Nothobranchius furzeri: one gene and its partner. The protein of the gene in region 2 interacts with the protein of the main gene of each other region in a biochemical or structural test. Links are inferred from orthologs where the notes say so. Each region holds a gene or a part of one and is shown on either strand. Other genes may lie near its edges.

Region 1 (4,282 bases), on a different chromosome or scaffold from region 2:
TGAGTGATAAATGACATTAAGTTTATGAAGAAGTTTTTTTGTAAGCGGTCCTATAAATGATGTCACCGTAATCTAAGATGGGAAGGATTGTTGTTTTGATCAAAGTTTGCTTTGTGATTCCATTTCATTTGTCAACAGCACCGCCATTGCCCCCTCAACCTAAAAAGTTATTTAGCTGCAGACATTGAAGAAAGCTTCGTGGAAAACGTCCAAAAGTATGAACATTCATTAAAGGAGTACAAAGATACGCAGCAAACATTTTTTTTTGGACGGATTGCATGAGCAGGTGGAGGAGAACGAGGGACAGATTTATCCATGTTAAAAAGTCTCTGAAACCCATGAACACATTAGTAGATACACTATTTTGAAATGGGCGCATGACCGAGATGGTGGCAGGATACCCCAGAAAAGCGCTATGCCCTCTGCTGTCCTGAAGGGGAATTGCTATGCAACTCTCCCAGGTGGCAGAGAAGTCTGAAGGGAAAACACCTCCATCAAAGTGTGTGTGTGCCTCCACACTCGAGATGATGGAGAAGTATACATCACCTTCACTCTGTCAGCTTCCCGGATGTTGAGCTAACATTTGATGTGAATGTAGCTGAGAGTCGTTCATGTCACTCTCTCTGGAGTTTGAAAGAGATTGCATGTGGTTTAAGCAAAACGTTATAATTTTGTCATTTCTTAATAATTGTAGTTCAAATCTCTAACATGAAAGGCAACATAAGACCTTTGAATGTGTGTGAAGTAAGACTGAAGTAAGAACAGCATCTTGTGGTCAAACGTGGTTACTGCAGCCCATTTTACAAACACAAGAGGGACTTTCTCACTCCCGTTCTGTGAGTTTCATGGCTGTAGCGAGCTACGGCTCAGCACCAGAAGATTCTAGATGACGAGTCATACACAGAAAGTAGATAAATATTTTTGCTGTAATATCAAGTTGTTGGTAACTGAATTAAGTATCTTGAGATGTTGTTAGAGCTGGCTAATTTGTTCTAATTCACTGTCAGCATGGTTAGCTCAACATTAGCCTCTGGACTGCTTCACCTGATATTAGATCAAAAGAAAACACTTCTTAGGGGTACAAGAAATAAGTTCTGGGTCACTCCGGTTGCTGGCTTAAGATATTTACAAAATGCTGCTGTCAAATCACAAATGCTGGCGCTGCAGCGTTAGCTGGCACAGAATGGGAAACGCTGTACACACATATTGTAAACAGTAACTACGTCCCTCTTTGGCCCTTTGAAAGAAGAAAAACTAACAACCCCTCCAAGCCGCTGAGTAGGAAACGTGTTTAACCATAACCTGGTTGAGACATCAGACTGTTTTGAGATTATTTCACTGTAGAATTCCTTAAAAATTCCTAATGATATTTTCTTCTTCTTCTTCTACTACTTATTGTACCTTTAATGTACTTCTAGATTCAACTCAGAGGTATCAGATCCTTGCAGGACTCACTTATCTCCAGTTGTCTCTGAATCCGTCCTTTGCTCCGTTCCCGAAAGGACACTTGAGTCTCATTATACTGAGTCATCACCTCCACAAACTTCCTTGATAGCACAGTGTGCTGAAGACAAGTGGAAACATGGCAGCAGAGTCTGAGAATGTGCTGCAGGCACTTCAGAAGCAACACTTGTGTACAAGAGCGAAAACCTACCTGGGTATTCTGGATCCTGAAGTCGACAGATGACCTGTTGGCAGCATCGTCCTTTGGCATGCTTTGCTCCATGGCTTCACAGGAGGAAAAGAGCTATGATTACAGCATTACCAGATTATGACAACATGAACGTTTGTCCTAAACTCACATTTTAGTTTTGCCCGCACCACATTGGCATTCCCTTTGATATTACTGGTCAGTGCACTCAGCTGATCTTTTGTACCTTCAAATAGAAATAAAGTTCACGTCAGTTTGCCTTTACACAGAAGAAGTAATTTACCTAATGAGTTCTTCTGTAAATATTGGATTTACTGGGATTTCATGTTGGCACCTAGCAACAAAACTGAGGCAATAAAGCAGCGGTCAGAAGGCCTTTGTTGCTTTGGTAAACAGTTACAGATGATGCTGCGGTGTTGTGATTTGTGGTTTATTTGTCTTGGAGGACTCAGCTCCTAAGGCAGAGAGGGGCCAGGAAATGATGCCTCACTGTTGCTTTATATGTTCTCAATTTAGCGTCAAAGCATTTTAAAACTTTGAATAATACTCTCTCAAAGGTATCCAGTCCAATCCAGACTCAAACGTTTAAAGTCTCTGAGGTTTTGGGTGGTTTCCTGCAGGTTTCCAGCCTGAGAGCTTCTGAGGAAATGAGGCATCTATTGTTTCTAATTCTGCACAGACAGTTTGACTCTGTCACTTCAAACATAAAAGTAATATAAAGAACTTGAATAAAAGCACCATGATCTGATTCTTACCATCAGTTGGGTTGGGTGCAGACAGGATCATGCTGTGCATCTTCCTCACCTCTTCTACTTGGTGGGAGATCTTATCGATGAGTCCTCTGACCTCCTCTACCTACATCATAACTTCATAAGTCATTCATGTCTAGGTTATTAAAGAGTTTACAGCCATACCCACCCTCCTGAAGTAGCCGTCCATGAAGCCATCCCCGCAATCCACCGCTGCAGCAACCTCTTCCTCAGTTTGCGTCTTACTCTGCGCAAAAATAGCACTTTTTGTGTTTTAAGTGACGTTTTTATGTGTCTGACTTCTGTGATAGACTTACAGCAGTCAGCTCAGCCAGTCTGTCCTTCATCCCCCCGGTCTCCCGCTCAGGAAGTGTTAAGAAATCATCCACCCCGTCATACTAACGCAGCGCACCGAGGACCGACGATCAGACGGTGTGTGAGATCAGCTGATGCTGGAAACAGTCCCAGAAAGAAAAGGAAAGAAAAGAAGGAAGTTGTCCTCGTTTCTCAGAGTTTTAACGCGAAACTCCAATTATCTGTTCGTCTAAATATATACATTATCAATAAAAGATCCCATAAACTGATTTCACTCTGCGTAGGATCATCAACTGCGCCTCGACGAGGATACGCCCACCACAACACACACACACACACACACACACACACACACACACACACACACACACACACACGCACGCGCGCGCGGTGGAAATACGTTTAATGTCTCCATAAACCGGCATATATGATAACATGACGTTTAAAGAGTCACCTTTCTGTTGCTACTCGAGTCCTATCGCCTACCCGAGGAAACCCTGGCGCACCTGTAGGTCACACGAGAAGGTTTAATGAATAAATAATAACGGGGATCGGATTGAATTGCCACACAAGCTGTTCTCATTTACCTGGCCACATGGGGGCGCTGTTTACTTATCCATTCTCTCTTTGGAAGCCCGCTGGAGCCCAATGGACTGGTGTCCAGCTGATCTGAGAAGTTTCACAACATTAAAGCGATAAAATTCAGATTTCACATTTATGATGACAGTATTCACTTATCAGTACTTGTTTATTTATTTCCTTGGTGGTGGTGGTGGTGTGTGTGTGTGTGTGGGGGGGGGGGGGGGTTAATTGTCAGCCCCCAAATTGGTCAGCGTGCTGTAATCTATATCTGGGATTTGGGCCGATTAGAAAAAGACCACACCCACATGTTCTGCGTAGTGTCCCGCAGTTTAACTCAAACCCCAAACAAATGAGGAGGCATCATGGTTGCATTGGAGTCTCACGTGTTTATTTGGATAAAACCTGATCTTATTAATTCCCCGCGAAATCTACAATTACGCACACACCGTGCCATTTACGCACAAAGTGAACACCCCTCCTTAAGATGGTCCAAAAAGTGACATCACGCTCTGTAATTCCCACGTTGCGTCCAGCACCAGCCTCCTCTGAGCTCCTCTCTGGTTTCCAGAATCAGCCACAGAAACTCCCAAGAAGCAGCTGTGTGAGGCTGAGGATTAAAACTCTACGCGTGGAAGTTAAAGATAGACGAATCAGCTATGACGGGAAAACTTTTCAAGCGTTCCTGCATCTCATCAGATCTCTGAACAGTTTTAATGCGATTTTAGACTTTTACTGTAATGTTTTTGACTTTGGATGCCCTGAATAATCAGATCGTCTCGCATCAATGCCCATCCCCCTATGGATTCATCTTTTTCTGGGGAATCAAACCATTTTGAAATTAAAACACTCATGGTAAAGTTCTCTAAAGTTCTCTAAAGTATGGAATTTTGTTTGAAAATTCTGCTTTTTACAACTTTTGTTTCCTGTTTTAAGGTGAGTTGAGCAAAGTTTGTTTTCTCATAATCAGGTCCTACAAGAAGAAGAA
Region 2 (4,370 bases):
ATCAGCCTTGAGACAGAATAAAAGATATTTTGATAATTTATACTTGTTAAATGTTTAACGGGAGTTTACTCTGGTTTAAAAAGAGAAATGATCAAAATCCTAAGCATTACTGAGTGACAAATCAATAAAAGCATGATTGTTTATACAGATGTAGATGCTGTGGGGTTAGGTGTGTAACAATGTTTTGTATTTACCCTGTAAATAGTAAAGCACATCCATGAACCAAAGAAACATAATATAAATGTTTTCATCACTAATTGGACTGAATTTGAACATCAGACGGTGTTTTTCTGACATGAACTCCATTAAAAGCGAACGCTAAACAAGACACAGCCATGTAAACAAAACATGAATAAAGGCCACATCTGATGTGACTTAAGCTGTGTGTATTATTCTGATATTAGTAGCCTCACATGTTTATACTTTACTCCCACTATTACGCCCTACTGCAGCTCTGGTGGCTTCTGACGGCACAAAGTAAAGCTTAAAGCAGTCAGGGCCGAACAGGGAGATGTGTGAGTGAAGAAGAAACTCAAACTGTAAGAAGTTGTTTCCTTAATGTGTTAAACTCCACAGAGACACAATGTCAGGCCTGATTAATGTCGCTGATCAGATTTTGTAAACAAATATGAATAAATAAATCATGTGCAGGTCGTAAAATTTTGACAATGTGATTATTTTCCTTTCTAAAATGAGGTTGTTTTTCCACATTACTGCTGTGCAGCGTCGCTCTTGGTGGCTCCCAAAGTAATAAGTTAATTATTAATGACTTCTGCTCGGTTTGTTTAACTTTGCACACCAGTTTGGGTTATTTTCAGCATTCTGAGCTTTTAATTTCATCAGTTATTCTTTTTGTTTACCCGTTTTCTTCTGTTTTAGAAACAACGACACTAGGAAGTGGAGAAAATGTCCAACATGCATGAGTCTAAATGTTAATTATGCAATCTCAGCTAAACCCATTTAGGCTGGACACTTACGCCAGTTTGGTGACTCAACATGTAGCTGCTGAGCAAATCAGGATAACCGTAACCACTGGCTGACAGCTCAGAGCAGGCTCTGTCCAGATCTGAATTTAAACGCCACCGTCATCAAAAGCTGGTGACTACAGCAGGAACCGTCAACGTCCGGACGTTTCGCACCCTGAATTTAGTTTTCATCTAACAAAAACATGAACGGACTTCATAAAGTCTGAGCAAACATGGAGGATGAAGACAGATGATTAGCATTAGGTGATAGGTGTTGTGTCACTGAGGCCAGGCCCAGAAATGGTATTAATAACTTGGATCACAACAAGAAAAATGACAACAGTTTAAAAGAGACTATCTTTAAGGCTGGAGTGACACATCTGGTGTAGCAGCAGCCTTAAACAGACTTTTTCACATGACACGAGAGCTAGTTTGTCACAGGAAAAGGCTCAAGCCTCTGCTCTCTGACACAGGCATAAACACGGCCCGTTTTTTTATTCCCACCCAAACGTTTTTGATAACATAGAGGAAGTAAAGCTCTATCCGCTTTTCTGTTTCTGCTCTTGTCAGACCGCTTTCCTTTATAGTTCAAGTGACATTTTCCTGTTTTGCAAACGGCCTCTGGACTTCAAGATTCCCTGTTAAAAGCAGGAAAAAAAATGAGACGGAAAAAGTATAGTCTACTTGGCAGATAGTTCGGGGGATTTAATGTTGTTGACTCTGCATTTTTTGTTTTCTTTTTTTATTAGACCACAGCGCAGAAGGTTCACACAACTCGTGACAGTTTTTTTTCTTTCTTCCCAGAGCACTGGTGTGACTTTACAACTCCAACACTAAATTTATTTACACGTACAATACACAAGAGCTGTAAACAACAGAAATGTAACCGGTCAATAGGGTCAGTTTGAGCTGATTGTAAGTTTAGAGACGCACCCCAAAATCAAATCAGTTGATTGGCCGTTGATCTGAAATTTGAAAGATGTATTCTGTAAAATGGGGTTAATTGCAAACTGCCAAAATTTGTATCAGCAGGTCAGAGCTGCATTATCAAAAAATTAAACAAAGCAAATATGGATGATTCTCTAATGATGTTACCCTTTAAATAAATGTGGTCATTTGTCTGCATTCCTATAAATTAATTTAAAACCAGTGAATTTAGAGCACCCCGTAGACCTGCTTGTGCTGTAAATCCAATCAATGAACATTTTCTAGTTGTAACACATTTTAACAGTGATTCTGTGTTTGTTGGCGTTCTAAATAACATTAACTTTTCATGCTCAGTTAGTCAGGAATTAGAAGAAAGTTCAGGTAAAAATGCTTCAGGTGTAGGAAAATTCAAATGATAACGTCCAGCTGATGTATTGCGTACGTTATTGATCGCCATGTTCGTGAAAACTCAGACTCGTGTGTAGATATTGCATAACTCCTTTTAGGGAACTGGTTAAGCACACATCAAGCAGGTATGCTGGATTTATAAAATACTTAATCTAATTAAGTTTTTAATATAATCTAGTTTTAGTGAGGACTATAATATAGACATGAAAATAACCCAGAGACCTGAATTAACAGGCGCACATGTAAAGGTTTATGCAGAAGTTTTAGGGACATACCTGCTCATGTTGTAGACTCCTCACAGCAACAACAGAAAGTGACAAACAACAGAGAAAAGCGTTTCTGGTTATTCTACTCAAACCTGTTCCTCCAGATCTAAACTAATGCTGAACAAAGTGACGTCTTTTCTTATTCTCATCACGTTCACCTCGTATTTTTTATTGCCTTTTTTTTACTCTCTGGTCAACTTTATGCTTACCTTTATAAGAAAACCTTACAAGAAATTTGTTTAATTTGTTTTTATTTCAATAGGTAAATAAACCGAGAACCAGTGTTCAAAAACAAGCTGACCAATGACATCATGGTGTATTTCCATTGCCTGAACCATGACCTTTTATTTCCAGATTTATAGATGACGCTAATAATCCAAAAGTATCAAAACACTGAGTGTGAACTTGACAGCTGGCTATTTATTTCCGCAATATTTAAAATAGGAGCTACTTTGTTTCCACTCCTTTGCCATGACAAAAGGTTATGTCGAAAAGAGCAATACAAAAGTCAAATATTGTAAAACAGTGCACTCACATGACAAGAAAGTATCACCTGAGAAACAGGTGATGTTCAGCTGAAAGAGACATATTAACCAAAACACCTGAGCCTGAAAATAACACACCCACGTTAGCAAAAGTTATGCCCTTAACAATAATCAAAACGTCATAAATAAGTTTAAACAGAGGAAAAATAAAACTTTATGAAGTTTTCTTACATTGTCCAAAAAGTTGCAGTAGCTCCCCAGCTCTAATAAAGGAAATAGATCCTCTGGGCAACTTGTTCACCTAGCTAACGTGCTGTTAGCTTGCTAGTTTTGTTAGTTCCGCTTCCCTGTCAACCCCCTAACGACAACACCCAAACTTTGATGGGAGGACAACGTTAAGAGATACTTATCAGGTCTGTTAATACTTACTGTTAACCTTCCTTGTGAAAAGACCGAACTCGCAACTCCTCCTTTCGCCACGGTATGTAAACTTGGCACTGGTTTGACCAGAATTCCTCCACTGAGTTCGTCGTCTGGGGACTTGAAAGTATGTCGGTTGGTGCATTCATGTACCCTCGGAAATATAGCTTTCTTCAAGGTGAGACGCTTCAGAAGTTCTTAAAAGTAATAAAAACACGTTTAAAATAGTTCAGAAGCTAACTGTGATAATTATAAATCTTTTTTGCGTTCAAAAATTTCACATTATTTTCACTACATCAAAATTCAGTCATATTTGTTTTTTAATAGCTTGTTTATATCTGAAGGTATTTAGTTTTAGCTCTTTAAAAAGAGGAATGAAAATCATATTAAATTCGTTTATTTATAGGAACAAACACTGTATTTAACCAGACTGTGTAAAACTTTTGGTAGTTATGTTTCTTGTGCTTTGGGTGATCTAAAACCAAAACGACGAGTACTTGAATGCAGCACAGGATGGTGCTGTCATAGGACTCCAGAGAGGAGAAAAAAAGAGCACTGCTCAAGTTCCCCACATGAGTGCAGCATTTACCCTTCACCCAGACCCCCCCCCCCCCCCATATTTTACATGAAGACAGAACGCCAGATACATTTTTCTCCATAGAGCTTCTAAGCGATGCTCTGAAATCTGAGCCTCTAGCAATGAATCTGCTGTGTAATTCCCAAGCTTTACGCTTTAAACCACAAAAGCCTTTTCAAGGTGACTCCAAAGATACTAGGCAATGAGCCAACCAACATATCAGCTGACAGTGTCTAAAAGGCAAGTGTTTCTATCTCCGTTTCCAAACAACTAAACACCAGCCAGCCAGATGAAAAGTCCATGTGTTGCTACAGATTTGCAC

The links.
Region 1: the proteins of synaptosomal-associated protein 23 (region 2) and stx2b form a complex in vitro, tested with the Homo sapiens proteins (2 studies listed by BioGRID). The link is inferred for Nothobranchius furzeri from reciprocal best matches to the Homo sapiens genes SNAP23 and STX2.

What each region holds. Positions count from the first base shown.
Region 1 is NC_091757.1:34,784,643-34,788,924, reverse strand, and holds the start of stx2b (syntaxin-2), read right to left. Parts: upstream 3,010-4,282; 5' UTR 2,748-3,009; coding exon 2,718-2,747; intron 2,648-2,717; coding exon 2,570-2,647; intron 2,507-2,569; coding exon 2,407-2,506; intron 1,878-2,406; coding exon 1,803-1,877; intron 1,729-1,802; coding exon 1,655-1,728; intron 1,565-1,654; coding exon 1,456-1,564; intron 1-1,455. Other genes in the region: adgrd1 (adhesion G-protein coupled receptor D1), read left to right, coding at 4,177-4,230.
Region 2 is NC_091758.1:23,385,925-23,390,294, reverse strand, and holds the start of synaptosomal-associated protein 23, read right to left. Parts: upstream 2,803-4,370; 5' UTR 2,584-2,802; coding exon 2,576-2,583; intron 1-2,575. UniProt on the Homo sapiens protein: Essential component of the high affinity receptor for the general membrane fusion machinery and an important regulator of transport vesicle docking and fusion.